Linked DNA regions of Rhinolophus ferrumequinum. Each later gene encodes a partner of the first gene's protein in a complex. Links are inferred from orthologs where the notes say so. Each region holds a gene or a part of one and is shown in the gene's direction. Other genes may lie near its edges.

Region 1 (7,642 bases):
CATTTGGCTCCAGAGTCCCCATTTTGTAACCCCTGCCCCCCAGTGCCAGGGAGAAACGTGGTCCTACAGCCACAAGAGCATCCCCTTCCTGATGGCTGCCTCCGACCTCTCCCTGTCCCGTTGGTGTTCTGGCTCTCATTGCAGGGGCAGCATGGAAGCTCCTGTCAGGCATACGGGAGGGCCAAACGCAGGTGGACACCCCCCAAATAGGGGACATGGCCTACTGGTCCCACCCCATCGACCTGCACTTCGCCACCAAAGGTCTCCAAGGTGGGTTCCTGGCCTGGGCTCTGGACCTGACTGAAGGGAGGGGGGTTAGCAGCACGCCATGCTGCTGGGACTGGGAACACCAAGTCCTGTCCCTGCTCCCATGCCCTGTGGGTCCCTTTCCCGGCCAGGTCTGGTCCTGGAGAGGCTGATCTGCTACTTCCCTGGGCTGGCTCCAGAGTGTGTCAGAGGCCAGGGGTGGAGAGAGAAAGGGGAAGGTGGAGACCAGGGGGAGAGAGGAGGTGGCTTTGAAAGAGACAAACGAAGAGAGTTTTCATTCAGGAGGAAGCTGGGAGGGCTTATAAGAGAGAGGCAGGGCTGGTGGCTGTTCTCAGGCAGAGCTCCTCAGCTGTTCAGAGTGGAAATGAGTATGCGGGGGAGGAATGGTATCAGAAAATCTTTTCTGATGGAAAATTTGGGTCATTAGAGAGCAGTGGATTCCAGGAAATAGCCTAGGTAAATATGCCGTATATTTCAGCAATATAAACAATATTTACTGAGTGCCTGTCCTGTGGTGGGTGATGTCAGGGAGATGTCAGTGATTGAGACAGCCCCCAGCCCTGTCCTCACAGGGTTCACCATCCCATGGGGGAGACAGAGCTGTCCCCAGAAAGTGGCAGCCCAGAGTGGACAGGGCTGGGATGGGCGATTATAGAGAGCTGTGGGAGCCAAGAGGAGGCTCCTGACTGCCAGGGAGTTCAGGGAAAGCTTCCTGGAGGAGGGGATGTTTGAGCTTTGCTGTGAAGGTCCAGTAGGCTAATAAGGCAGAGGGAAGGAAGAGGTTTCTAGGCAGAGAGCTGTGTGCAGAAGGCACAAAGGGTAAAGTGAGCCAGGGCATTTGGAGGACGGAGATAAAGCAGGAGGACTGCAGGGGGTCAGGTGGCAGGGCCTTGAATGTCAGGCTGCAGAGCTGAGGCCATCTCCTGAAGACACAGCAGGCGACTAAGAAGTCAGATTTTGCTTTTAAAGGGTGATGGATTAGAGGGCGAGGCAGGCGACTGTCCTTTCACTCTTGAGACCCCCAGACCCCCTGTGTGGGTATATCATCCTGGCCTCCTCTTTTCCTGAACGCCCCCCTCCCCCCGCCCCATTCTGTCCATCAGGAAATCCCACTGGCTCTACCTTTGGAATGCATACTAAACCTCACCCTCTCCCCTGGCACCTGGTCTGTCCACCCTAACCTCTCACCTGGGCCATTACAGTAGCCTCTTCACTGGTGTTCCCACCCTAAACTCAGGGAAAAACCTAAGTCACGTTCCTCCTGTGCTAAGAACCCTCTACGTCCCATATCTCTCAGGATAAAAGCCAAAGCCTTACCATGGATCCCAAGGCCCGGCATGATCTAGTGCTGTCACCTCCTCCCTGCTCCCTCTCTCAATGGGCTCCTGCCACACTGGCTTCCCCAGGCAGCTCCCATCTCAGGCCTTTTGTACCAGCTGTTCCCCCTGCTGGGAGCACTCTTCCCTAGATGTCCACATGGCCCACTCCTTCTCTCCTTTAAGCATTTGCTCAAATGTTACCTCAGTGAAGCTTTTCTTGATCCCCACCTTTCTAAAACTGCATCCCCACCCCCACCCTACCCACCTTTATTTTTCTCCAGAGCAGTTATCACCATCTGACATACCCTATAATTTGCTTATTTACTATGTTCGTTGTCTAGGATGTCAGCTACATAAGGGCAAGAATTTTTGTCTGTTCTGTTCACCAATGTGTCCCCAGCTTCTGGAACAGGGCCTAGCACAGAGGGGCTTAGAAAGGAGGGTGAAATGGGACTGGATCTCCAAGGGCTTTGTCTACCAAGCTGAGGAGCTGAACTGTAGTCTGAGGACAGTGGGAAACTTATGGAGGGGGAGATAGATGCTTCCAGATGCCAGGTGGAAGGTGGATTGGAGGGCGCAAGAAAGAAGCCTCTGAGCCCAGAGAGGACAGGGTGGGCCAGGGTGTGGGAAGAAGGGAGGTGTCCAGGACAAGGCCCACGGTACTTACTCATCTGGCGACTGGGCCACACTGAGATGGAAACCAGAGAGGGAAGTCAGCAGAGGCTAGATCCAAAGAGCCTTGAATGTTGAGGTGGACTTTATACCAAGGGCACTGGGGAGCCATGGAAGGGTTTTAAGCAGTGGAGGAACATGGATTCAGAAACATCCCTTTGGCTGCCATGTTGAGGTGGGAGTCCAAAGAAGAGGCTGGGGAAGAAACCCAGGGGGAACGGACTACCTGAGGTCTCCAGTGGAGATCAAGGAAGTGGGGATCCACAAGCTGGAGACCCGGCTGTCCCATCCCTTCTTCCCTCCCTCCTTTCCTGCAGGCTGGCCCCGGCTCCATCTCCAGGTTTGGTCCCAGGACAGCTTTGGCCGCTGCCAGCTTGCAGGCTATGGCTTTTGCCATGTACCCAGCAGTCCCGGCACCCACAAGCTGGACTGCCCCACGTGGCGGCCCTTGGGCAGCTGGCGGGAGCAGCTGGCACGGGCCTTCGTGGGTGGTGGCCCTCAGCTGCTGCATGGGGACACCATCTACAGTGGGGCTGACCGCTATCGCCTGCACACAGCCGCCGGTGGCACCGTGCACCTTGAGCTGGGTCTACTCCTGCGCCACTTTGACCGCTATGGCGTTGAATGCTGAGGGACGCTGCCTCACGGGCCCCCATCCCCACTCCTGGACACCCAGTAAGGGCAGGATGGCACAATAGTCAGAAGTCTGGGCTCTGGAAACTGTCAGACCTGCCCGGAGCCAAGGCACACTGCGACTTCTGTCTTGGCTAGCACCTCTGAAGCCCAGTAGCTGTCCCTCTGGGGCCTAGTTTCCCTATCTGTGAAATGGAGACAGCAATGTGTGGGGTCCCAGGGGTTTGGAAGAGAAGAGGCTGCCTTGCACATGGAAATGTTCAATAAAGGAAAGCAGTTCTGACAGGTGTGGGTGTCTTCCTGACCTGTCAGATGGCCTGTGCCCTGTCCTCCCACTGACACCCTCCTTCCTCAGGCCCCCACCTTTTGACAGACCTGCATCCCCCATCCTTCTCAAACTCTGATCTCCCCATTCTGGGTGCCCCTCTTATGACCCCTCTCCTTGGGGCTCCCCTTCCTCTGTGCCCTTCTCCCCACTAGGTTCCCCCATCTGGCTGACCTTCTCTCCAGCTTCCAACTCTATTCTGCGTCCCCTCCTCTGATTCCCTGTCAACTGTGTCCCCATCCACTGATTGAGCCCTCCTCCCCAGGTCTTCATTCTCTCGGTGACCAGCCGCCTCCCCCGCCCCGTCCCCACACACACACACACACAGTCTTCAAAGCCACACGCATCCGGGTCGCCCGCTTTGGTAGCGCTCGGCCGCCAGGAGGCAGCACCCTGTTCGTGGGGCGGGGCCGGGGTGCCCGCCCCCTCCCCCGGGGCTTAAGGGACCCCCCTCAGAGCCCGCCCACGCGAGCTGAGAACGGTGGCCCGGCCCCCGCATGCCCTCACCCCTGGGGGCCACCCCCGCCCCGCGCGCTTCCTGGGTGGGGCCGGGGCGGCTTCAAAACCCCCCGCCGCCCCAGCCGGTCCCCGCCACCGCCGCCGCCCTTCGCGCCCCGGGCCGTCCCACCCCCCTCCTCCCGCCGCAGATCCGCCAGACAGCTAGGCCCCCGGCCGGGGGCAGGGGGGACGCCCCCTCCGGGGCACCCCCCCGGCTCGGAGCCATCCGCCGGGTCGGCCTCAGCCGGGAGCGGAGGAAGGAGCCGCCGAGGAGCAGCCCGAGGCCCCAGAGTCTGAGACGAGCCGCTGCCGCCCCCGCCGCCGCCACTGCGGGGAGGAGGGGGAGGAGGAGCGGGAGGAGGGACGAGCTGGTAGGGAGAAGAGGGAAAAAAGTTTTGAGACTTTTCCGCTGCCGTTGGGAGCCGGAGGCGCGGGGACCGCTTGGCGAGGCGCTGCCGGGCGAGGAGGCAGCACTTGGGAACCGCAGACTGCTCCCCCACCGCCTCGGAAGCTTGCTTCCTCCGTGCCTACACGTCGTCCCTCAGGCGCCCCCATTCCGGACCAGCCCTCAGGAACCACAAACCCGACTCCCGCGAAGACTTGACCCCAAGACCTCGGGCGCACGCCCCTCTCCTGAGCTCCCGCGCATCCAAGGACACTTCTCCGGAGTCTGGGAGACGGGATCTCTCTCAGACCTGCCTCAGCTTCCCTATTCGAGACCACCCACCTCTGGTACCAGATCGCGCCCATCTCGGGTTTTTCCGTGGGATACCGAGAAGCCACCCGCTAGAGCTTCCCTTCCGTCCTCCGCGAGGGCCTCAACTTCCCCCTCCCCGCAGGCCCTCCTACCTTTCCACGGGAGACCTCCCCCCCAGCCCCTGTAGGGGTGGGGCCTCCCTCTTCGCATCCCAGCCCCGCTTGCGCTCTCGGCAGTGCCGGGGGCGCCGCCTCCCCCATGCCGCCCTCCGGGCTGCGGCTGCTGCCGCTGTTGCTGCCGCTGCTGTGGCTACTAGTACTAACCCCGGGCCGGCCGGCCGCCGGACTATCCACCTGCAAGACCATCGACATGGAGCTGGTGAAGAAGAAGCGCATCGAGGCCATCCGCGGCCAGATCCTGTCCAAGCTGCGGCTCGCCAGCCCCCCGAGCCAGGGGGATGTGCCGCCCGGCCCGCTGCCCGAGGCCGTGCTGGCCCTTTACAACAGTACCCGCGACCGGGTGGCCGGAGAGAGCGCCGAGCCGGAGCCGGAGCCGGAGGCGGACTACTATGCCAAGGAGGTCACCCGCGTGCTAACGGTGGAAAACAGCCACAGTGAGCTCGGAGGGGCAGGGGATCCTGGAGGGGAGCCCCCAGCGGGCGCCGGCGTGCTGGGGTCGGGGAGGAAATAACTAGCGGAGGAAACTGGAGAGAGAGGACTCCTGGGGGCGCTGGGAACGTGGGACGGAGTCTCAAAGAGCTCCCTCCACCCCCAGGTGTCTGGTCTTGAAGAGGAGATAGTGAACCAAGTGGACAGCTTCTAGAGAGCGACCGGAACATGCAGGATCGAGGCGCGGGAGTCCCCTAGAGGGAGAGAAGCAATGGGGGAGGGGTAGAAAAGACTTTCGGCTACTGGGTGCACTAGAGTGTGGGGGTCGTGGGATAGGGGCTGAAGACAGGGTGCCCGCTTTGGGAGAAGCGAAGACCCCATTTCTGAGCAAGGAGAAGCAGTAGGGAAAGCTGACGCAGAGCTCAGGGATCGTGAGGCGAGAAGATTAAAGAAGGACAGAAAAGCTAGGTAAAGCGAAGCCCGGAGGTGCCAGGAAAAGTGGACCAGTTTACAGCAGGCGCCAGGAATACGCGGGATTGGGGGGTGGAGCAGAGAGACGGTTGGGGGTGAGAAATGCGGGGAAGAAGTGGGCGCGAGTTCGTAGGAAGAGGGAAGCTAGCGGGAAAGAAGCGGAGACCTCTGGGGTACGGGGGATGCCCGGGGAGGTGCCCTGAGTACTTCACAGGTGGACGTGCGAGGAGGAAGCCCAGCTGAGGAAGCGAGCCCCTAGGAAACCTAGAATACTGGGTCGTGGGAAGGGGTTTACAGAGAGGAGAGACGCGTGGGAAAGGTGGACCGGGAGAGGGGCGGAGGAGAGATAAACGGTGGCCTACTGGGAGCGGCGAACCCTCCACACCGCGGATGGAAGGCAGTGGGCTGAGCGAGGAGTCCAGCCGCAGGGGGAGAGGTGGTGGGTGCGACTCTGCAAGATTGGGGTGAGGAAGCCCCACGTGGGTGCCACGCGCGGGGGAGTGGGGAGGAGCTGCGCGTCCGGAAGTGGGGAGGAAGAGAACCCCGCAGCTCTAAAGGCTGAGAATCTGGACCCCAAAGTGCCAGTTCCTCTCCGGGAGGTTGGGGAAACCCCAGCCTCCGGCGGCCTCTCCCGCCCTCCCTTCCCTTTCCTTCCCGTGCCCTGGGGGGCGGGGATCGCGCGAGGGGCCTGGGGCGAGACGGGGCAGGTCCGGTCCCCGCCCTCGCAGCGCCAGCGCCTCCGGCCCTCTTCACCCCAGCTCCGGGCGGGGCTACCGCTGGGCCAGCCCCGTCGGCGCCCACTCGGGTACCCCGGCGTCCCAAGTGGCCCAGAGGCTCGGGGTCTCCCTCCTTTAACTTTCCCTGTTGGGCAGTGGACTTGTGGGTCTCCAGCCCTTTTGTGCGCCCAACTGTGGCTCCAGTCAAATGACGCCCATCTCCACCCCTGTCTTCATCTCACCTTTTTTCCATGGTTGCTTCACCATCATTCTAGAGATTTCTCTACATTGTAGAGATTAACACTGATACTTTCAATCCTCTCCTCACAGACCGTCTCCATCTCCTCCCCAAACCCTCTGTCTCTCTCCCCGTGTGTCTCTCTGTCTCCTATCTCTGTTTTTCCATCTCTCCCGCATTTTCATTAGTCTCTCTGTCCGTTTGTGGGTCTCCCAGTTTCTGGTTCTGCACCTCTTCCCTCTCTTTCTCTTCCTCCTCCACACCTCCCCACCTTTCCCTGTCTCGCGTTCTCTCCCTCTCCCTGTCTGCCTTTCCCTACCCATCTTGTTACTCTTCCTCCCTATCTGTCTCCCCACCAGGCTCTATCCTTCCTCTGGGGGTTGCTGAGTAACCGCTGGGCCAAGATAGGGCTTATTGTGGGGAGGGGCTGGTCTGGCTAGAGGGGGGAAGAGTACGGAAAGGGGGCCCATAGAAGGGGTTACCTTTTACCTTTCTCATCAGATCCTGTCTCCCATTTTCGCACCCACACTACAGAGGCCTAAAATAGGTGCCCCAGTTGATCCGGGAGTTCATGGCCTGCCCTCTCAACCCCACCCCCAAACTTTTCTGAACTAGTAAACACTCTTCCTAATTTTCTAACCCCACTAAGCCATTCCTACCTAAAATGAACTTTGCCTTCTCTAACCAGCTAAGGGAGGAAATAATTAATAATAATAATAATAATAATAATAATAATAAATGTCATATTAACAGGGAGGCTGCATACCCTAGTAGTTGAGAGCGGTTGAAGTCTGGAACTAGACTTCCTGAGTTTGAATCCCTTTCTGCAGCTTCCTAGCTATGTGACCTTGGGGCAAATTTCTTAATCTCCTGTGCCTAGGTTTCCCCCTCTATAAAACAGGTATAATAAATAATATGTTCCTCCTGGGGTTGTTGTGAAGTTTAAATGCGAAGTGCTTTGAATATCGCCTGGCAAGTAGTGAGTGTGCTTTAACACGCACATTAGAGTGACCACTGTGTGCAGACTCTGTGCTACACGCTTCATCTTATTCGTGTCACTTTCTTTCACACTCTCACCCTGCAGTCAGTCGTTCCTTGTTTTACAGGTGAGAATCTGGCACAGAGAGAGGAATTCATTTGCCCAAAGTTACATAGCGCTTCAACGAGGAGAGCCTGGGTTGGAAGGCAGGGAGCTTGA
Region 2 (7,061 bases), on another chromosome or scaffold:
GGACATGAGGTGGTGGAGAAGAATAAGAGCTCTGATTCATGCTTGCTCAGTGATTCTCTTGAACTGGGGTCAGTCTCCTCACGGACCTGGTTCTTAGTTTCCAAGTTTGTAAAACAGGATTAGTTCAGCAGTGTGCTTTGTGGAAAATAAGTCTGTGAGATGTTCCCTGAATAAAGGGTTCTTCCTTTGGAGAATCCAATTGCATGCAAACCTATTTAAGTGTCTGGAAAATCCTCCAGTAAAGGATTTAACTTAATTTTAACCCAGCATTTTCCAAACTTCATTATGGAAGACCTCTCTCTGAAAACATTAACATCTCACAGAATTAAGCATCCATAGAATACCTGGGAAAGAGACACGGGCTCCAGCAGTTCATTTTTCTTTGACTTTGCATTTGATACTGGAGTTTGTCAATAAGCCCACACGAGGCCTTTGAGGAATCTCTGTATTAATCCATATGGCTTAGGTTCTTTGTCATTGATACAAGCTAGGTGTCATAGTCACCATAATACATCCGACTGGCTGGGCCACTCATCATCTCTTAAGAGCTGTACATGAAGCGAGCTCATAGACAACCTGTGAACATCTACTTAAAATCTATGGAATATCTCCAATACCAACTTCAGAAAGATACGCAGTCGGTTCTGACTTACAAAGGCGCAACTTACAATAGTTTTACTTCACGAGGGTGTGAAAGCAATATGAATTCAGTAGAAACCGCACTTCCAAGTCTGAACTTTGATCTTTTCTTTGACTAGTGATAATGTGGTATGATACTCTCTCGTGATGCTGGCCAGCAGAAGAGATCCTCAGCTACCGGTCAGCCATGTGATCACAAGGGTAAACAACTGGTATTCTATAGTGTATTCATTGTGTTAGACAATTTTGCACAACTATAGGCTAGTATAAGTGTTCTGAGCACGTTTAAAATACGCTAGGCTAAGGTATGATGTTCAGCAGGTTAGTTGTGCGAAATGCATTTTCAACTTAGGGGATTTTCAATGTACGATGGTTTTATCGAGATATAACTCTATCAAATTGAGGAGCATCTGTAATATTAAAATGTGAATATGATTTTAGCGGTAATTATGAGGTCAATAATTTGGACAAAATATCGTTAAAAAGCTGAATACACAATAAGAGGAGCAGTCTCTCAGATGTCTTTCTCATTCTTGCTGTGTATAGCTTATTCATTTCTCACCATAAACCAAGTTAATGAGAAATTGAGGTGAAAGGAATAGAAAAGAAACTTAATATATCTAATTTTATGTCTTGTTAGCAACTAAAAGACTCTGATGATAAAAGGCTGGAATGAATAGCTAACATGTTATTTTTAGACGATCTGTAAATTTCATTTGCTCTTATTACCACAAATGATGAAAAATTAACTGTCAAAAATGTCAAAGCAAGACAGCAGAATATGACAAAAACAGGAATTAATCAAGTCACCATCTTCAGGAACATTTTTTTCTGTTAGAATTCTTCAGGTAATATGAGGAAGATAATACCTCATTTCTTCACAACATGCTGTACATCTTCTTACAGGAAAGAGAATGAGTTGTGGTGACCAATGACATTTATTGGAAACAAGGAAACTTTTTGTTCCTAGGCTCCTAATTATATTTACTGTAAGAAAACCTACAGATGATTTACAGGGCTCAAGAGAATTCACTTTTATCTTTATAGCCCCAAATGTACAGATAACTTATTTGTAAATAACTTAACAAGGATCACAATGTCACAGCTGGGATATTTTGTCTTATTTTATTTTGATCACCAGAATTATAACATCTTTTCAACTGGGAAGTGGTGATAAATGCTGCTGTGCTTATTCCTCAATAACTCCATAAAACTGGCATCCTGACATATCAGCCTGGGCTTCATAAAATAAAATGTGGAAGTCTTTCTTTCCACACATCCTTATTGGTATTATGGATTGACTTTTTTCCTTTATTGTAGAACTGCACTTTCTCGAGGGTGGCTGCATTCCTTTGGATGAAATAATCTCTGGAAAATATACATGCTGTTTTATTGAAGGGTCACTAATCAGAGCTTGAATATGTTCATTTTGTGCTTTAATTTCAAGTCCTCATCCCCACCCAGCCACTTTTCAGGCCTTTCCTTTAAGACCACAGAAAGCAAAACTACAGTTATTCAAACTTGGAACTAAGGAAACAAAATAAATAATGAAGCTGAGCTGGATTTCATTCTACCTAGTGTACATTGCCTATAGTGGTATTTACAAGGTGTTTTCACGTGCCAGCTTTTCACATTCGGATCATTCATTTGGTCTCAGAAGAAAAAAAAAAATCACCTGCTTTGTAGATCCAGGGCACTTGTAATTTTCCAACTGGGTTCCCGGTTAGCTTAGCTAATTCTGTGGGCTTCAATGTGCAGTCCACACCTGAAAAGGGGGGGTTTTCAATGTTGTGGTTTATTAAACAGGTACTTTCCATTCACTCAGTTAACAATTAGAAAACAGAAAGAAAAAAGAGAGAGAGAGCCTCCTACTTGTTTTTTAATTCCAAATATGGAGATGGAAACTATTGAACAAGTAAGGAGGGAAACTCCCGCATATTTCACCTTGACCTGGCTGGACTGGTCTGATGCCCGTAAGACGAGGCTGTTCTATGAACAAGGTCAGGCAGGCTGCTAGTGGGATAAGGAGAGGTCAGATTTTACCAGCGGGGATCACTCCTGCCCCTAGAGGGGAGAAAAGAAGCATCACCCTGTGTCTAGGATTGGAAACGGCCTCGTTTTCAATCCGGGGGACTGGTTTCCCTCCCTCGGCCTAGCGTGGTAGTGACAGGACCCAAGGAGGCGTGCGGCTTCCCTGACAGTTGCCCAGCAAAACACCCGCTCCCTGCTTGCACCTAAATTTCCGATCTACATGCAGGCAGAAATGCCCTCCCACCTCCTTTCCTAGCTTCTCTCCCTGTTTCACTGCGCATTGTAACTTCTTTGTTCCGTTTATCAGGAAGGTGATGCTTAAGGTCAAAAGACACTAACTAGCAAAATCCAGAGCCACCACCAGACCCTGGAAAGAACAGGGCTGTTCAGTCCAGGGCTGAGGCTCCGAGTGGGGAAGCAGCGAGAAATTTCGTCCAGCAGCTCTGAGTACAGCCTCTGTGGACTGGCCCAACTCTCCGAGGGTCGGGGAGACGCCGCACGGTCTCGGGGTGGGGCAAAGGATGAACTCCTAACTCTGCAAGTAGAGTGGGCAGTGCGCACCCGCGGAACAGAGGGTGTTGGGGGCGGGGAGAGGCCCCTGGACTCCACTTTGTATGCGGCAGCTGCCGAGCAGTGAGTATCTCTGAACAAAGGAGAGCACAGCGCCTGGGTGAAAGGCTGGGGTTTGCGCGCAGCTGCCACTCGTGCTGAGCGACTCTCTACACCCGCTAGGCGAGCGTTGGGGTGCAGGAATTCGGGGGTGGGGGGCGGACAGGGCGTGCGATTCCTGTTGCGGGGCTACGCCTCAGGAGTTCTTGTGAACGACAGGAATGGCAACTATCAGAGTCAAGGGGGAGAAAAAGAGCTGGAGTGAGCAAAACAAAGAGCGAGTGTGGGCCGCGGTGACTTCATGCCTCACTAATGTCCCGCCCACGCTGATCCGAGCAATGGCTGTTGCCACCCCCTCGCTCGCGAGCGGCCAGAGCAAAGCGCTCGGTAGCGTGGGGCGGTTTCCTAGCAACTCCGGGCCCGAAGCGCTCCCAGCTATCTGAACTTCGAGAGCCCACCTCCCCCACTACCCGGGGCCAGGGCAGGACCACTCCTCCCGACCCCCACCAGCCTGGCCTCCCTTGCATCGGCGCAGGGTGCACCCCAGAGCGCGCCAGCAGCCTGGGCTCTGGACTGTCGGACGCCGGAGTCGAACACCGGGGCCAATAGAACGAGGGCACGAAGCTCCCGCCCGGCGAGACCGGGGTCCTGCACCCCCGCGGAACCTCCCCTCCTGCGCTCGCCCCGGTGCGCTCCACTCCCAGCCAAGCAGGGAGCTGGGATGCCTAGCTCTGTGTCCGTCGGCGCCAGAGGGGGCTTCTAGGGCGCTCACGGAGCCGCCTCCCCCGGCTGCTGGCACCCGGAGCTTCCTTCCTCGCCAACCAGGACGCTGCCACTTTGACTTTGCCCGCTGTTCAGCTAACGAGGCTGCAAAGCAACTAAGTGGAGTTGGCCTCCCTGCCCACCTGTGGAAGAAGCTCGAGCTGATTGATGTCCCATCGACTTTTTTTTTCCCCTTCAGCCTCGCCGGCGTCCCCTCCCACAGATACAGCATCACTCAGTGAATGTACCACTAGGCTGGTTTTTCCCCCTCGCTTCGGGCTTTGTTTGGGTTTGATTGTGTTTGGCTCTTCGTTAAGCTGATTTATGCAGCAGAATTCCCATCGGCTGGGGAGAAACAAAAGCTCTTTTCTTTGTCCCAGAGCGGGCTGCGTAGCCATCGCTCGCGTCGCCGCCCCAGGCCATTGGCCGTCGGAGGAGGTGCTTCTCGCGGAGATTTCGGGACCCTCTGTGCCGAGCTTGGAGGGCCAAGGGGCCCTGAAATGCCGAGCGGTGCCCGGGCCAGCGTACTTTCACCGCTTGCTCCGAGCCGCGGGGTCCGCCTGCCAGGCCTCCTGGAAACGTCCTAGCGACGCTTGGTCCGCGGGCCCCGAGGTGCGCCCGGGAGGCACAAGCGCGCACCCGGAGAGCAGCCAGTTGGAGGACGCGGTGCGGGCTGCTTTGCATTATGTGCCGCTCGGCCCTGGCTTTTTTTACTGCCGCATTTGTCTGCCTGCAAAACTGCCGGCCAGGTCCTGCCCCATTTCTCCGGGCGGCCTGGGTATTTTCAGTTGTTCTTGGACTGAGCCAAAGTGGTAAGTTTTTTGTTTTTGTATGTTTGTGTTTTCCTTTTGTTTCTTTCTCTTCCCAAAGGTCTTGGGATGTCATGAAGAGCATCCTGGCCAGGTAAGTGGCCCAGTGTCAGCCTCCCTCCATCTGCCTCGAGAGAACTTCAGAGGGCGGTGTGTGGCAGCGTCTACCATCGTATGTGGCCTTAGGGAGGCCAGGTGTAAAGCATGTTCCGTCCCGGAGTGACAGCAATAACTAATTATACGAGGAGATACTGTGTTGCTCCCTGGTGTTGGGGAAGCAGTAATGGACTGGAAGTGAAGAAGGGTGGGCGCTCATAATTACAGACGCCAGGTTAGGGGTCCTGCCCATCTTTGAAGCCATCCTCCTTGAAGGCACCCTTAAAGATGCTCCTCATCTTGCTAGCATGCGGGTCTAACCACTGGCTTGCATTTGATTCAAGGCTGACGATAAATTGGTGTAGTGGGAGTGAGTCTTCTGTTTTTGAGTTGCTGGAAGAAAAGGATGATAGCACAAAAGTTTCTTCTATTCCAGTGTTCAGCCTGAATGAATTGAAGTGCAAAACTGTTTTGGATCTTTTCAATCATATGTAAATGTAAGATAGCTCTGCTGGATTGTTAGCAAACAGTAAAACATATAGTAAGTAATAGTAATAACCATCAATTTAGGATGAGTTCGTATTGGTTTTATATATAAGCCAAGCACTTATTTTTGCCAAGGCAATGATTATTGCCATAGTTTTTATTTTTTTTAATTTTATGTACTTTACCAATGTTTGGCCATCCAGCCCTTAAATTCTATTAGAGACTTGCTTGCACTGACCTCTCCTGCTGAAGGAGAATTGTGATTGTTCTATAGACTAAAATTTTCTCCTATGCTTTGAATTGATGTGCCAAGTTTCTGCCTGCAGTTAATTAAAATGGTCAAATCATAATCTTATAAATAAGGGTTTATAATGGAAACATCCAGCTAGCTTCACTTACTTGTTGCATATATAGTTGTTTAATATTTATTTCAAAAGGAGATTTACCTAACAGTTATGTGAAATGAGAGCAAGTAGAGTAAATTTTTATCTTGTGGTTATTTTTTGACTTATAAGTTGACCTCAAAGTAGGTAAAACTTAAGGCAAAGGAAAAAGTAACATTCATTATCAATTATCTCTTAAGTGGAACGTGCACATATTTTGCAGCAGATTTTCCACTGAGCATAATTCCATCCTGTGTTAATAAATGACAAAATATTTTTCTAGATTGAGTAAACACATAAACACACATAATAGTAAAATAACCAAAACTGTCAACAGAGTATATTTTGTCTCCATCACATAGGCAAAGGAAAAAGTCCTAGTTGCCTCTAGAATTTACTAATAATAGTAATAATTTTAAAATATTCATTATGCTTGTAAAGATTAGTCAAGTTCTCGTGTAACATCATTGTATTTCCATCCGGTGACTGTAACTGATTTAAAGCAAATATTATGAATGGGCTCCCTTGCACCTGCAGTAGTGAAAAGGGAATGCTTATCTAAAATCAGAACAAGGCATCCTTTTCCCAGTCTCTGTCAATATACAGAGGTTTCTGATGTATACTGGTTTGCACTGCAGTTAAAACATGCAAAAAATTTAAATTATAGCCAGCACAACTCAGAAAATTAGAGATCAGCATAAACTGTTGTATTTTCGTGATATAGCTACAAGTCTCAAATTATGTGTCTTCACAGTGCAAATTAGACGCTTAAAGCAGAATAGAAATTGAGGTTATCAGTTACAAAGGAAATCTTGTTCCCTTGCTCAGTAGTTTACACCAAGGAAATGTTGAGGGCAATAAAGCCATACAAAAGAAACTATAAACTGCATAAACAACAACATAACTTTGGGTTTAATTTTTAAAGTAGAATTTAGGTCCCAAATACATAGTGAGCAAGAAGGATATTATTAAAAATCTGAATATTTTTCTGATCTAGAAAAAAAGTTACTGGAGTTCATTATTCAACTTTCCCTGGTGGAAATTACCAACAATTAGAGCAGTAACACTAAAAAATGGTTAATGAGTAACTGGAAAACACTTAAGAATACCTAGTGGTTAATATTTAAAGATTTAATGTAGCAGCACTGATGTTTTTACATTTGCTAGTTTTGAATGGTTAAAAATATTTTTAACTAAATTTTTATACAACAGTATAAGAGTGGCAAATTTCAAAAATTCCTATCTC
Region 3 (7,768 bases), on another chromosome or scaffold:
CCATCGTCCTATATAATAGTGCAGAGTCCCCCAGACATTGCCTGCTGTTTTACAAATGGGTCCTTGTAAACAAAGATGCCCAACAGTCCTTTCAGGCCTGTCTTTCCCTCTCCCTATCACATTGCCCTGACTTCTACCACACACAGAGGTTTTGCAGTTTTGCCAAGGCTAACCCCACTTATGGACTTGATCCCATCTCTACTCTTCTCTCCCTGACCTGTTCTGCCAAGGAAAATAGACATATTTATATGGTACTTCACATTTTACAAATGATATTCACATATCAATCCTTTGCTTCATGACCTTGTTCCTCGAAAGAGCAATTGTCTCCCCCGTGTTTATTTCTGTACCCCGTCACTGATTAACCAACACCTGGCAATCTGACTCTTGATCCTATACTTTACTGAAACTGCTCTTTTTTGCCATCATTCTTTCACTCATTCATATAGTCCACATAAACTTATAAGCACCTAGGATGTGTCAGGTTCTGTTCTAGTCACTGGGATAGAGTAGTGAATAAACAAATTTCTTTCCCTTAGGAGCACACAATTTAATTGGGGAGGCAGACAATTAGCAAATAAGTACTATATAATAAGATATTGAGCAGTGACATGAATAAAAAAATTGTGAAAAAAAGGGAAAGTAAGGGAAAAGAAAGTAATGGGTGTGTGTATGTGCTATTTTAGATGGTGTGGTCAGGGAAGGCCTCTTTGAGGAGGTGACATTTGAGCAGAGGCCTAAAGGAAGTTAGGGAGTGAGCTGTTTAGATACCTGGAGACTGATGGGGAGAGCATTCTGGGCCTACGAAAGAACAAATGGCAAAAGCCCTGAGACAGAAGCCTGCTTGGCTTAACAGAGGAGGTGCCGCTTAAATGAGGACTTTATGCTTTGAGTGGAGGAGGTGAGGAAGAAAGTGGTAGGGAGTGAAATCAGAGGGAGCAGAGAGAGGACCAGATCATGCAGGGCCTTGAGCCCATGGTAAGGACTCAGGTTTATATTTGTCAGTTACGAAAAAGCTTTTCTCAATGACCAGTAAGTGACTTTTCCCAAGTTTTTAACCTCTTCAACTGCTCTAGAGCAACTGACACCTTAACCTCAATTCATTTAAGAAAAACTGCTGGGCACTAAGTGCTAGCCTGCTGGGGATGCATACAAATGTGAACAAACCATAGTCGCTGCCTGCCAGGACTCACTGCCCCAGAGGAAAAGCAGAACTGTTCCAATGAACGATGATGCCCCTTGGGCAACACGGGATAGAACCATGAACAAAGTCCTAGTGGGACATAGAGAGATGCCATCATCTCTTACAATTTCTCCTCCTTGATGTGGCCTTATGTCAATTCATTGTCTTCCTTATCTCTTCAGTCTTGCACCCCACACCTAGTTCCATCTCGTGAAGATCCAGTTCAGATGCCACCTCTTCCAGAAAGCTTTCCCTGAAATCTCCCACCACTTGTGTTCTCTTCCCCCATCACTCTCCCAGCACCTTATTCCTGATTTTCCATCATTCCCTTCCATTTTTCTCTGAACTGGACCGTGGTTAGTTGTATGTGCCCCTTCCCCTGGATGTCCCACTGCCAGCCACGCCCTGGCACTGACAGGGTACTTCTTAAGCATTGTGTTACTGCACAACACGAAGTCGTTGATCATATGTTGCTTATGGTCAGTGTTTCCAGGAAAGGAAGAGGCAATGTCCTCACAGAGGTTAGTGACTGGAATTAGTGGCTCAGAGAGGCCGTGGGCTCAGCGTGGGAGAGCTTTGTGAACAGGGAGCAAGAGGAGCTGCCCTTAGGATTTGAGATCCCCTGTCCTCCTCCAGATGGTTAGAGAAGAGGAGTAAAATGTGCCAGGAAGGTCCTTCAGCCAAGCCACCCTCATGTGCCCTCAGTCTCTGCCTTGAACCCTCAGCTCTTCCAGGACTGGCATCATGAGGGGTTCCGATGGGGGTGGTGGCCTCTCCTCTTTCCGTTTTTTTAATTTTGGTTCTTAAAAACTACATTCCAAATGAGGGAAATGAAACTACTAAAGATTCTCCCCCAGCAGCCAGCTGACGTGGGGTAAGAGAACAATTCCCAGTTAACGCCCGAAAGGAAATCCCCTCCCTGTCATGTGCTGAGGCCAGAGAAGCGGGGGAGGCACTAGTTCACTGCTTGGCGAGGCCCAGTTACCAAGGTGAAGGGCTGGGATGGAAGTGCTGCCCTGTCCATGGGCAGGGGCGGCGAACCCAAGCAGAATGGAAAACACCACAGGTGAGCGTGAGAGGACCAAGATCTTGGACCTGGAATGAACTCCCAGTTCCACAGGTAGACCCTGCCACTCCATCGCTGGGCACAATGGACTGTGCTCTTCTCACAGACCCATCTGTAGGAAGGAAGCTGACCCTCATTTCTCCCACCGGATCCTTTGCATACTTTGTCCCCCAACTCAGATGTGTCTCCCTTCACAATCTCTGTCCAGTAGGTCTCCCTACTCCCCGGCCCTGAATAGTGTCTGGTTTTCATCTGAAAAAGCAGTGGGTGGGGAGACAGAAGCCATAGTTCCTTTCGGGAGACTGAGATGTCCTACTGGAGACAAAGCTTAGTTTAGGCAGGAAAAAACAAACCAACCAACAAACAAAAAATCTCAGATGACAATATTTAGAGAGTCGTAGACAGTGTAGGTTTATTGCCCTCCTTTCTTCTTTCCTTCTCTTACCTCCTTCCCTCTTTGACCCAATATTTACTGAACCCCTTTATGTGCATTGGGCAGTATACTTTTTGGAATAGCACGTGACCCCTTCCCTTAAGATACTTACAGTGTAACTGGGGAAATAAGACAAAAATCCTAAAAGTTAAAGCACAATACAGGAGATGTCATGATGCCAGTGGATATTGTAAACATTTGGTACCACATGTTCAGAAGGAGAGGATGCAGAGGGTTGTGGTAGGCAGAGAAGACACTGGTCAACGCAAGGGAAACGTCTGACAGAGGGAGTACAAAGTGGGGAACATTTGTACTGTGTTTAAGGAAATTGTGAGCAGATAAGACTGGATGACACCCACTCGTGGACCATGTGTTTAAGTACAGGACGTAACACTGATGGAAGGCTGGAGGCAAGATCAGGCTGAATAAGGCATCCGGACTTTTTCCTCTAGCTGGGAATTGCCCAGCTACTTCCTTTAACCTTGACACTAAACTTGGCTTTGTTACGGTTGAGCAGGGGGTGGCTATAAACGTCACAACACATGGAGCAGGCTCAAAGAAAGAGGCACACGGTCCCCCAGACTGTCACCATCCCACAAAGGGACGTGCATGGCTGAGATGAACCATGGGTTGTGTTTCCAGAGGAAGTGCCTCCTCTCCTCAGCCGTGTGCAGTGTGGTTGGGAGGGGGACCAGTGCACCCAGCCAAGGTGGAGAATCCTGAACTGTGCGGTCAGGGTTACAGCCTTGCTGGCATGAAAAATGTCCTGTTTTCAGTTGCAAGTCAACATTGGTTTTGGTTGGAAAGTCTTAGGTCCTCCCTGCTAAGACAGCTTGCTGCTGGCTATTGGTGCTATATGACAGCAAAGTGGCTCGTCCTCACACATCCATCAAGACCACTGGTTTTCTAAGTTTTTTAAAGTGGTAAGAGCTGTCTCTCGTAAAAGAAATTCTATGGAGAAACTCAATGTGTCAAACATATAAAAGAGGGATTGCTTGAGATAAGGAGGATATGGAGTAGACAATTTGCTGGATGTTTGGAGCAGGAAGAACTTGCTTCTGTTCTCTTAAGATGGACATGCCAAGGATAAGAATGTTATGCAGAATCACAAATCAGTAGTCTACAGCAGATGCGAACCGACCCTCCAGGACACCTCAGCTCTCCAGATCTCATAGGGAAGAGCGGAACTGGAGATTCCTCCTTTGGCTCCTCCGGTACAGTTGTTCACATTACTCATTCGCCATGCGTTGACTCTGTCAATATTTTGCCTTCTCCACTAGATGGTAAACTCCTTGAGAACAGGAGCTATGAGATGATGCATATAAAGCTCTTAGCACAGTGCCTGGCATGCCTATGATGGTGGCTATTATTAATTCGATTATACTTTTGAAATCTTGGCAAGCACTAAGCAGGGAAATTTTTACACATCAGGTACAAAAAAAATAAAAATCATCCAAGCAGTCTATGATCAAGAAGTTCATGGCACTTTGGAAGTCTACCCCAAAGCAATGTCCATTTCTTTTTCTTCTGTTGATGTGCTTGACACATAAAAGGAGATTATTAATAAAGACTAGCTGAGTGGATGGCTCTTCCAGAAGGTGGACTCTTTCCCAAGTGAAAAACATGTGTCCTACCCGTTCCCAAAGTCTGCCCCAGCTTGACCCTTAGACATAACCTTGGAGAAGAGTTTTCTGGGTCAGCACAGCTCACAGGCAGGGGCCCCCAGCTCACCACCCCTCAAAATCCCTAAGGTGAGAAAGCAGGTGGAACCTTGTTTAGCATTGCTGGGAGACCATAAAATATGCGCCCTCCTTCGTGACTAACCCAGCAGGTAGTCCGGGGGCCACTCTCCCGCCGGCTGCCCTCTCCCTCCCCCCTCACCACCCACCCGTGGCAGCAGTTCCTTCTCCGTTGCCTGCTTTCTGTGAGTGCTGAGTCGCCCCGAGCTGCTCGCTCTCCATGTGACTTCAGTTTCCGTCTGTTCCTTCCGCAAGTGCTAAAATAATCTGATGCCCCAGAGAGAGGAGGCAGCCCAGCCCCGCGTTCGGCTGCTCTCGAGGAGGCCGGAGTCCCGGGAGAGGATGCGCCCGGCGGAGCCGCCTGGGCCTGCGGGAGCCGTGAGTATTTCCTGCGTGGTGGGCAACCGCTGCCCTTCTGGAGGTGGGCGAGCTCGGGCCAGGGTGGGTGGTAGATCAGCGTCCCTGGCCCACAGCTTGCGGCTGACTGGGAAGTTGTGGCTTGCTGCATCCAAGCTCCACCGCTCTTGTGCCCAGTTTGGCGGCTACAGCTCTCGCTAGTGGAACTACATCCCTCTGTGAGCACTCAAGAGCTGAATGAGGTCAAGGTGGTGTAGAGTAGTAGAAACAATTAGGGCTTCAGACTCCTGGTTTGAAAGTTTGATCTCTGGCTCTGTGGGGAGAATATCTGGGTCTCGGTTTATTTATCTGCAAAGTGGGAACAATGGTGCTTCTTCCCGGGCTGGGTGACTGGATGCAATGAGACTACTCTGTGAGTGCTCAGCGTGCTGAGTGCTTGGATCTTATTTTCTGCTCCACAATGTGGACTGAGAGTCAACGTGTCATAGATGAAGACACTGATACTCATTGACAGCAACACATACTTGTGGATGTCTTCCAAGTGCAGGCCTGTTTAAGATGTTGGGGGCAGAGCTGTGACATAGACAGGCAAAGCCCCTTACCCACAGAGTGTCCTTGGGAAATTCACTAGGGTTCGTTACTTGGACCCACAGCTAGTAAGTGTCAGAGGGATACTAGGTCCCAGACTTTTCTTATCCCTTGTCCAGGCTCCTCCATAGCCCTCGCGGCCTCTCCATGTGGGCTGGATTCTGGAAGGTTCAGCATATATCCTCATGCGCTCAGGAGCTGACATAAATAAGTAAGGAGCCACCGACCCGGCTCTGTACTGCCCTCAGAATGGGCTGCCAGCTCACCTCATCCCTGAGAGAAGGTGACCATGTGCCCCACAGTGGCTGGGACTCAAGGAGGTGGAGGCAGGGTCCTAAGAATTAAGCCCCAGGATAGGGCTGGTCTCGGGTGCTGCACTTCCAGGGGAAGTGAAGGGAACCCACTGGATTTTTCTTCCGTGATGGGTGCAGCCCATTAGAAGTTTGGACCGTAAAAACATTTTGAGTTTTAGAGCTGCCCTTCCGAAATCTGCACTCCCTTTACCCACTGGCTGTGCTGCACAGCATCTGCGGATGCCCCTGGTTTGCTGGGGTTTTTGGCCCTGAGACTTATTTATTTGTCTTATACACCCCATAGGTTTTTACATGTATGTCTGAGAGTTCCTAGACAGGATTATAGAACCTTGGGCCCAGGAAAACAAAATACAAAAAGCTTGACTCCTGCCTTTAGGTTAAACCAAACCAAACCAAACCAAACCAAACCAAACCAAAACAAAACAAAACAAAACAAAAAGCCTATTTCACAAAGAGGGTGTTTTCATCTAACATGTTTCTCATGGGACTTCCTGAAAACCCATATAAACCTGAGTCCACATGGTGTTTAAACCCATGCCTCCCAAACAGAGAGTAGGCTCCCCGTGTCTTTGTCCTGGGTCCTGTGTTAGGAATGCATTGCCTATTTGACTCTGGTCTTTCTTTGTCGTGGAAGACTGACATCAGTACTGATTATAACCCGTGTTTGGGCTGCAGTGTGTATTCACACCACAAAATGTAAACCAGACTCTCAGAAGGACAACTAGGTGTGCCCCACACCACGCTCAGATCTACATTATATAACCACGTAAAGTTAGGGGAGGGTAGGCTCTCAACCACGACTGAAAAACATTATCTTTCTCAGGATATGCTTGTTCTATGCTCAGTAATGCTCACTGGTGTGTCTGCACATTAATGATAAATATTTTTGCCTTTGGTAGAACTTTTTTAGTATACTAATTTCCACTCACCCTCCTCCCCCAACTATGCTCCTCAACTTCATCATTGAACAAATTGTCATGGCTCAATGTGTGGGGAGCTCTGGGCTACATTAAGTGATGATGTCTGACAGCAGAGAGAGTCAAGGGGAGGAAAAAGGGACATTGATACTTGGATCTTATCGAGCCTCACAAGCAACTAAATCTGAGTTTAAGGGTCTTTTAGTTGCAAATGACAAAAATCCCATCAGTTTGGCTTCAGCAAAAAAAGAGGATTTGTTGTTTCAAATAATCAAAAAGTCTATGGGGGGAACAGCTGCACACATCCAGATGCTCAAACATTGCCAGGAATCCGTCTGTCTCCATTCCTCAGCATGGCTTTCCTCTGTGTAGGCTTCATTATCAGGCAGGACCTAAAGTTGGTGGCAAAGATGGGTGTCTGAAGCTCAAACCTTAATTACCATCAGTTTGGCATTTGAAGCATAAAAAGAAAGCCTCTTTCCCAGTAAAATCCTTGGATTGATTCTCATGGGTTTGGCTTCTGGGAACCCATTATAAACCAATCACGGTGGTTAGGGGAATAGGAGACTCTGATGGGTCCAGCCTTGTTTATAGGCCCCTCCTTGGAGCCAAGAGTTAAGGTCAGACTCAAACAAACATGGAGTTCTTAATAAAGTAAGATAGTTGATTGCAAGATAATGTCAATATACTTAACACTACGGAATTATACACTTAAAAATGGTTAAGATGGTAAATTTTATGTTCCGTCTATTTTACCACAATTAAAAATTAAAATAATAAAGAAAAGAAAGGAAAGTGTAATTTCCTCAAAGGAGAGTTAAGGAGTTGTTACCAGAAGGAGAAATGAATGTGGGTAGGCAAAACCAACTGATTTCCAGAGCAAATGGAGTCAGGTGCTGAGACAAAACCACATGTGTCTTCTCACTTTAATACATGAGTGGTTTCAGACTGAACAAAGGGACGAAAGGAGGAAGTAGAACCCTGTCGTGATTCTCACCAGAGAGGTGGGCTAGAAGAGCAGTGCTGGTACCAGTGATGGGCTAAATGTGGCTACAAAGTCCTGTGAGGACACAGGGACTCCCCACGTCCAGCCCCAACCCAGAAGTTCACCTTGGTCAGGTGCTATGCCATGTGCCCCAAGCACCTTTCTGCTGCCCCTCCAAGAAAGAAA
Region 4 (7,124 bases), on another chromosome or scaffold:
GGGGGGAACCTTTCCCCTCTCTTAATTGCATTATGTACCTTCTAAAACCATTTATTCATTTACTCATCTATTTACTTAATATTTATAGAGTACTTGTTTTGTAACAAGTACAATGCTAGACAATGAAGACATAAAATTCATCCATTTACTTGATAAGTGTTAATTGAATACTTACAAAATAGCAAGCATTATGCTGCTTGCTGGGAACATAAAGATAACTAAGGCCATCCCTGCCTGATACCTACTAAGAATTCAATAAATGCTTGTTGAATAAATAATTGTCTTGAAAGACCTCACAGCCTAGTGAAGGAGAGAGGCAAGGATTTAGGCAATTAGAAGCAGAGTAAAAAGGACTATCTTGGGGAAAGTTGCACAGAAGAGAGACCTGGAGAGAACAAAGTCGTCTTCCCGTGGGAAGCTCCAGTAATGTCTACACTGAGACCTGATGGTGAGTTGAGTTAGACAAGTGAGAAGGATGAGAAGGAGCCAAGGGCCTCCAGGCAGCACAAAAGCCAGACACAAAGGCTTGGAAGTGAAGGAGTGGCTGCAACTGGGAATTGAGAGCAAAAAAGCAGTGCAATTATGATTTTAGGGACTGGATGGAAGTCTGTACACGGGATAGTACAGGGTCCTTGATTTAAACACAGGTCACATTGAGCGTCTGGAGTTGCCCAGGACCTTGTAGTTGCTGAGTGCATCCAGTTAGCAGAGGAGCATGGAGATGGTCGGGCAGTGGTCCACACCACTCCCACTTATGTCCCTTTGGCAAGAGCTAAGTCACTAGGGTCCTCTGAAGTGCAAGACAGGTAGGGAGAAGTAGTCTACCTATGCTCCCAGGAAGAAGAGATTTTGATAGCGGCTAGAACCACAGAGAAAAGTTTCTAGGGAGTGGGCAGATGGAGAGTTGTGCGGGCATTCCTGATCCCAGCTCATCCTCAGTGCCTGGTGATAGCTTCCAGGGAGGTCTGTGGGCAGAGAGATGACTCAGGATCTGAGGAAAGCTCTAGAATCCAGGGCAACACTGGTTAGTCCAAGGCATTTCAGGCACTCTTGTGGGATGCAAGGTGTTATCTTCCAAAATGAGATTTTAAAATGTTCAGTCTATAGAAAAAGGGGAATTTCAAGAAGGAAATTGTTGAGAACTGTGAAGTGCTTGAAATTTTACTTGTAAGCTAACAAGTTAGATCATCACAAATTCATAGATGCTGACAGAGAAATGAGATGCCAGGGTCAGAGGTAAAGGACTTTAAAATTCACAGAGATAGCAGTGGCCAAAGAACCAGCATTTTCTTCCATCAGCATCCCAAGGCCAATTCCCACAGGGGAACCCAAATGGGAAGAGGTGACATCTGCACATGTGGTGGTCTGTGTTACAAGAGAGAAACCCTGAGCTTAGGGAAGCTGAATCTTTTATAACGGGCAGTAAACACGCCTGCTCCTGGTTCTGGAGGGTAACACTCTATCTTCCCAATATGTAAGAAAATCTGCTCCTTAGTCTGGAGGAAGACATAATCTCTATTTTCAAAGGCTGTTCACTTTACAAACATCCTTGAAAAGATAATCTGGAACAAAGGCAGTCAGTGCAATATTTGGAGAATTGTTTTCCAACAAAGGTACGTTCCTTTTTAGCAAGAAGGAGTGTTCTTTAAATAGAGGCTTTGTTTACTTGATCCTTCTCCTCCTGACTTGTAGATACTGGGCTGGCCCCAAGGCTCAGTCTTCAGAGCTCTCCCCTTTCTTGAGGATCTCATTCAGCCTAATATTTTTAAATTTTATCAGTTTTATATCTTTAAATTCATGCTGATGATCCCAAATTTACATCTGCTACTTTAACATCACCCTATTTGTACACTCAGGTAGCAAACTGCCTATATGACATCTTCACTTGGTTATCTTCTAGGTGTTTCAGAATTAACATGTTCTTGAGTCTCATCTTCCATACGAAACCTGATCCTTCCCCAGGGTAATCTCTCTCAGGAAAGTGTCGTACACTCAGATGCTCAAGCCAGGGAACTCGCTTTCTTCCATATCTACATCAAAGCACATCCTGTTTTTAAATTATATCCTGTCTGACTACTGTGTTTCCCCGAAAATAAGACCTAGCGGGACCATCAGCTCTAATGTGTATTTTGGAGCAAAAATTAATATAAGACCCAGTCTTATTTTAATATAATATAAGACCGGGTATAATATAATATAATATAATATAATATAATATAATATAATACCGGGTCTTATATTAATTTTTGCTCGAAAGACGCATTAGAGCTGATGGTCCCGCTAGGTCTTATTTTCGGGGAAACACGGTACCTTGCCTCTGTCCTAGACAATAACCATAAATTCCTAATTGGTCCCCCACCTTCCAATCTTGCCCCATACATTCTGACTGCTGAGGAAGCTAGACTGATTCTTTGAAAATACAGATTAAGTAACATCATTCTCCTGCTTTCAACTTCCCAGTGACATTCCAGTACATTTGAAATAAAATTCAAGGTCAAGAATACATAGGATCTGACCTCTGCCTCTCAATCTGACCTCACTTGCTACCACCCGCCCCCCTCCTGTCTTGCCCTCCACTGTCCTTGAAAATGCCCAGCATTAAGGTGTTTCAGGGCCTTTGTACTTTGTTGCCCAAGTCATTTAGGGTTTTGTCTGATGTCAGTTGAGCAGGGAAATCCTTTCTGACTATCCTCAATAAAATAACACACCCTATCTATCCCTCTTTCCTTTTACCTAGCTTTATAATTTTTCATACCTCTTATCACTGCCTGAATTTAAGAATCTGTCTCCCCACTACTGCTCCCCAACTTAGAATATATGCTTCACCTGTCAAGTACTAGGATTTGTTCACTGACATATTCTCTGTTTCTAGAGCAATATTTGGCACAAAGTAGATGCTCAATAAATATTTGCTGAATGACTGGTTTAATAAATGAACAAATGAATGAAAGCTAATACTGGATACAAAAATGGAGGCAATATCAGGGACACAGATACTTTGTGCCTCAATCTTTCTCTTCAAACTAAGTCAACTGATTTCATGTACTGTATTTTTCTCCCAAAAGGCACATTTCTAATTCTTTAATATTCCTGGTTTCTCTCTACAGGATTCTTACCATGTTCTTCCAGGTTCCTATGTATGATGGAGTTCAAAATTGAACATAGCCTTCTGAGAAGACCCTGAACAGTCTATAATTAATTTTCCTTTCTTCACAGGTTTCAAATGCTTGCTTAGAAATGCACTTTTAAACAATAATCTCACAGGATTTAAGCCCAGCCACAAAGAAGCCTATCTAAGGTCAGCTAGGTTGGAGAGGAACAAAGCGAATATTTGATTCTTACCTCTTTGTAGTCTCTGCAAATCCCAAAACATCCTCCTGAATACATTAGGAAAATATATGTAATCAATCTCATGAATTTCACCGTTGACTGTATAGATTTTAAGTTTGTCACTCTTTTGTTCAACAAATAAATACCTCCTATGTGCCAAGTGGTGAGCTGGAAGCTGGGACAGTACATGAAAAAGGGCACTTGGCCCCTGTCAGGAGGGATTCAGAACCTTGGGCACCACTGTTTCTGTTCTCTTTGTTGTTGTTTTGCAACTAATTCTGGTGAAATTTGATTTTAATATATTATATTTATTTCCAATATTGCTTTTTAAATAAGAATTCTGTACTTATGGGAAAATATCTTTCATCCAATTTGAAAAACAAGGGAGCAGAATGTTTTGCCTGCCTTCTAAATTGACTTTAAAATGGTAATTTTTATTTTTCAGGGTTCATTTCAATTTTCTGAAAAAGATTTAACAATGGAATACAAAAATCTCAGGTATTTTATTTTAGCTAATTTTTAAAATCCCCTTACATGTAAGTTATATATTTGTGTTTTATTTATCATCTTTACTGTTTTTATTAAATTCAAATGATTTTAGAAGCAACTTGAAATCAGATTTCAATTGCTCTTTTGACATTTCATTGACCAATATTTTACTAAAAGTATGAACTTTCTCTAGGATGCAGAGAGACTAATAGAATTTACACAAAAATTTCTACTGAATGAATTCCCCCACCTTCTTGGTGATTGTACACCTGCTTCCTTATAAGGAGAACAAGGAAGTAAATCATGTTGAAGTTGCTTTTAAGCACACCTTTTCTTCTTTACCTGTCCAGGTAGCCTCTGTTTTCATTTCAGTCTTAATGAAAACTTTTTCATTTACATCTCAAGTTTCTTTTCAAAGCAGTGTAAGTAGTATTTAAAATTTTACACTTCGAGAAAGAGACTTTTAACGATGTTCAGCTTTGGTCTTGTAATGCTGAAGGTAATTCATTTTTTTTTAATCTGTCTGCACAGCGAGAACTGAAACGAATGGGGATTGAACTGCTTTGCCTGTTCTTTCTATTTCTAGGAAAGAATGATCACGTACAAGGTAAGACCTAAGCTCTCAGAAATATTGCTTTCGTGGTATGCTTGACAAACCTGTCATTTGGTTCAGAAACTAGATCTGAAGTCATTTTTTATGTGATCTGTTTGATTGCTTTTTTGCCATTGAGCGAACACTTTAACAAATCGCAAGCAGACGCAGGGCTGTTCCCACAGCAAATGCTCTAGGCTTAAGGTAAGTAAATACAAAGGTTGTATTGGCATTTTAATGCAGCATTACTGCACAATAGAACTTCTTAATACCTTTGTGGGAACCATTTTGGTAACTTTCCTAGCTATTTTATTGTACAACAAGGACTTCCACTTAAGTGTAATAGCCTTGAGAGAGAAAAGGGATTTATTTTAAAAATAAAAATGCAGTACATGGAAGAGAAGATTTTTAAATGGGTGCCAATAATTTTTAAAAATTAAAGTAGACGATAATGAATGAGGATAATAAATATGATGATTCCATGTTTGTGAACATTAAGATACTTTTGTATCTAATATTTTAAGCAAAAAAGAATGATCCTTTCTGGGCAATAAGGCATACGTATTTTCAATGTGATAGATATAAAATACGAACTTTTCTATGAATTGCTAACATTTGAGGACTGATCTCTGAAGACTAAAATAAACTTTGATGTTGCTTTGCTCAAGTACTTTAAGAGGCATAAGTCTCGAAAATGGAGTGACTGAGAGTTTGCTGATTCTGTGTGTCTTGCTGGGTTTAAACACAGGTGGCTGTGCCATGGGAGGTGCAGAAACCTGTGAAGACTGCTTACTCATTGGACCTCAGTGTGCCTGGTGTTCTCAGGAGGTAAAACAAATGACCTCAACATGTTTGTAAAAACCGCAGTTACACTTCTGTTAAAGCCCCCAGTGGTGGCTCTGAAGGTGTCCTGCTTTCTATGGGTTTATAGGAGTGAAACAAATCTAGAAAGGAAAATGTACGCCTTAGTCACATCCGTGACTACTTTCGAAAGCAATTTGCAGAGGGAGTGAATGTCAAATTATTCAAAAATATTTAACTCGGGATCCTTTATTTAACCTGATTCCTCCTGTTATTTTAAAGCCATTTCTAACTGCTTACATGTCAAATGCCGAGGCTTGGGTCATCAGAGATCATGGAGATGATATTTTTCTAAAGCTAAACATATATTTGACTTCAGTATCATAGGTGTATTCCATCTGGGAGCCAGGATGCATTCTGAATCACTACTAGGTTCTAAGGGAAGTGTTGTAGGTTTAGGGTAAACTTTACTGTTCAAACATTATCCAGTTCTTTTAAAAATTACATTTGCATGTGCTTGCTGACTCTGTACGGTAACAATGACAAAGCCCGAAGCTGACATTCTTTATCTGATCAAAATGAAAACTATGTGAAAGTAGTGTAAGAAGACTGGGGCATGTAGCCTCCTGAGACAATATACAGCAATCTGTAAATGATTCTTGGTAAGAAAGAGCTGCCTTAGCTCTTTTTGGATTTAAAACAGTTCTCTACTGAATCTCACTAAGAGAATCCAAACACCAATCAAAACATTACCAATGCCAGTTTCAGCAAGGGCTGATATCATGCTCAAAAGGAACAACCTGGACACCCGACTCTGGACCAGGCTAGAGCTGTTAAAACCCACCTGCCAAGTTAAATGTGTATCTGTGGTCTCTCTGACCACAGAGCACAAACGCAGCTCCCTCCCCACTCCTGCCTGGACTGATGAGGCACAAACTAAAGTGAGACGGAATTTTGCTTTTCTTAAGCTCATGTATCAAAAGTTGGTTTGAGAATATAAAAGAGGGGGAAAAAAACCTATGTTTTTACAATGACTCGCTGAAAAAGGCAGTGTTAGTTTCATGCTAGAGACATACCACAACAAATCAGTCTAACATAATGCTTACTTCTGGAATTTTTATTTAAGTGCATTTTTTTAGCACTCATTTAAGAGAGTTTCTTAAGTTACTACTGATAACTTTACTTGTGGATGAAAGTCGGTAGCCAGTTGTCAAATTTTAAGGCCAGATTATTCTAAAAGTTCTCTCTAATGGTATTGGTTATATAAGTTGAGGCATTTGCAGCAAAAAGTAAATTAGACTTCTGCTTAGCGCAGACAGAAAATAAGTTCTATGGTTAACCCCAGCGCTGATCTTTTGGCAAAGACAGTGATTAAAGGTGGTTGCAGTGACACTGTGTTGAGAAGGATTCTGAGGCTTTCTCCAGCCTGTTTGCCTCTGATACATCAAGGGAAGTTACAGAGTTTGCTACATGTAGCCTGGGGCCACAAATATGCACAGGCCTGACTGATATATAACAAATTATATTCTCAAACATCAATTCCAGAAGGACTATATCTTTCCTAGTTGCTGAAAACAGCAAGAGTGACTTAGAATTCTAAGAAATGAGGAAAATGACGTGAACATTGGTTTGCCTTTCTCCAAGCATGAGAGACTTTGACTTTGCTTAGAGCCTCACAAGCTCTAGAGCAGCCTTAGCTATCAGGTAAGACAGGTATTTATATCACCACTCCATCTTTCTCTTCTGGGTATTGCAGGGTTGGAATGGCCACATCTCAGCCTGGAAACATTCATGTCGCTGCTTCCCGCTACCCAGGTGGATCCAAAGGGGACTGGGAAACTCCTGAGTCTCACATAGAAAAGCAATCTTCTACACCATGCTCTCTTTCCCTTCCTGTCCCCACCTCCAAAGC

The links.
Region 2: the proteins of TGFB1 (region 1) and ITGB8 are in contact, whole or in part, in a cryo-EM structure (PDB 7Y1T), measured with the Homo sapiens proteins. The link is inferred for Rhinolophus ferrumequinum from reciprocal best matches to the Homo sapiens genes TGFB1 and ITGB8. Residues at the interface, in NP_000651.3 of Homo sapiens: His117, Thr241, Arg243, Arg244, Gly245, Asp246, Leu247, Thr249, Ile250, His251, Gly252, Met253; in NP_002205.1 of Homo sapiens: Ser156, Ala157, Ser158, His160, Asn161, Asp213, Tyr214, Asn215, Leu216, Gly248, Asn249, Ile250, Asp251, Thr252, Glu254, Gln286.
Region 3: the proteins of TGFB1 (region 1) and NRROS are in contact, whole or in part, in a cryo-EM structure (PDB 7Y1R), measured with the Homo sapiens proteins. The link is inferred for Rhinolophus ferrumequinum from reciprocal best matches to the Homo sapiens genes TGFB1 and NRROS. Residues at the interface, in NP_000651.3 of Homo sapiens: Leu30, Ser31, Thr32, Cys33, Thr35; in NP_940967.1 of Homo sapiens: Phe194, Glu195, Ile196, Glu197, Gly198, Gly199, Phe201, Leu210, Leu212, Pro218, Cys219, Ile220, Val221, Asp222, Phe223, Gly224, Leu225.
Region 4: the proteins of TGFB1 (region 1) and ITGB6 are in contact, whole or in part, in a crystal structure (PDB 5FFO), measured with the Homo sapiens proteins. The link is inferred for Rhinolophus ferrumequinum from reciprocal best matches to the Homo sapiens genes TGFB1 and ITGB6. Residues at the interface, in NP_000651.3 of Homo sapiens: Pro70, Gly71, Pro72, Glu75, Leu158, Asn237, Gly245, Asp246, Leu247, Thr249, Ile250, His251, Met253, Asn254; in NP_000879.2 of Homo sapiens: Ser142, Ala143, Ser144, Asp146, Asp147, Pro196, Cys197, Ser199, Ile200, Pro201, Tyr202, Lys228, Lys231, Ile232, Ser233, Ala234, Asn235, Ile236, Asp237, Thr238, Glu240.

Annotation. Positions count from the first base shown.
Region 1 is NC_046298.1:39,655,258-39,662,899, reverse strand, and holds the start of TGFB1 (transforming growth factor beta-1 proprotein), read left to right. Parts: upstream 1-4,634; 5' UTR 4,635-4,669; coding exon 4,670-5,024; intron 5,025-7,642. Other genes in the region: B9D2 (B9 domain-containing protein 2), read left to right, coding at 142-270, 2,576-2,889. UniProt on the Homo sapiens protein: Transforming growth factor beta-1 proprotein: Precursor of the Latency-associated peptide (LAP) and Transforming growth factor beta-1 (TGF-beta-1) chains, which constitute the regulatory and active subunit of TGF-beta-1, respectively.
Region 2 is NC_046303.1:19,498,493-19,505,553, reverse strand, and holds the start of ITGB8 (integrin beta-8), read left to right. Parts: upstream 1-4,052; 5' UTR 4,053-4,726; coding exon 4,727-4,853; intron 4,854-7,061. UniProt on the Homo sapiens protein: Integrin alpha-V:beta-8 (ITGAV:ITGB8) is a receptor for fibronectin. It recognizes the sequence R-G-D in its ligands.
Region 3 is NC_046285.1:50,893,186-50,900,953, forward strand, and holds the start of NRROS (transforming growth factor beta activator LRRC33), read left to right. Parts: upstream 1-4,756; 5' UTR 4,757-4,799; intron 4,800-7,768. UniProt on the Homo sapiens protein: Key regulator of transforming growth factor beta-1 (TGFB1) specifically required for microglia function in the nervous system.
Region 4 is NC_046291.1:62,160,768-62,167,891, forward strand, and holds the start of ITGB6 (integrin beta-6), read left to right. Parts: upstream 1-4,123; 5' UTR 4,124-4,196; coding exon 4,197-4,241; intron 4,242-4,350; coding exon 4,351-4,426; intron 4,427-5,159; coding exon 5,160-5,239; intron 5,240-7,124. UniProt on the Homo sapiens protein: Integrin alpha-V:beta-6 (ITGAV:ITGB6) is a receptor for fibronectin and cytotactin. It recognizes the sequence R-G-D in its ligands. Internalization of integrin alpha-V/beta-6 via clathrin-mediated endocytosis promotes carcinoma cell invasion.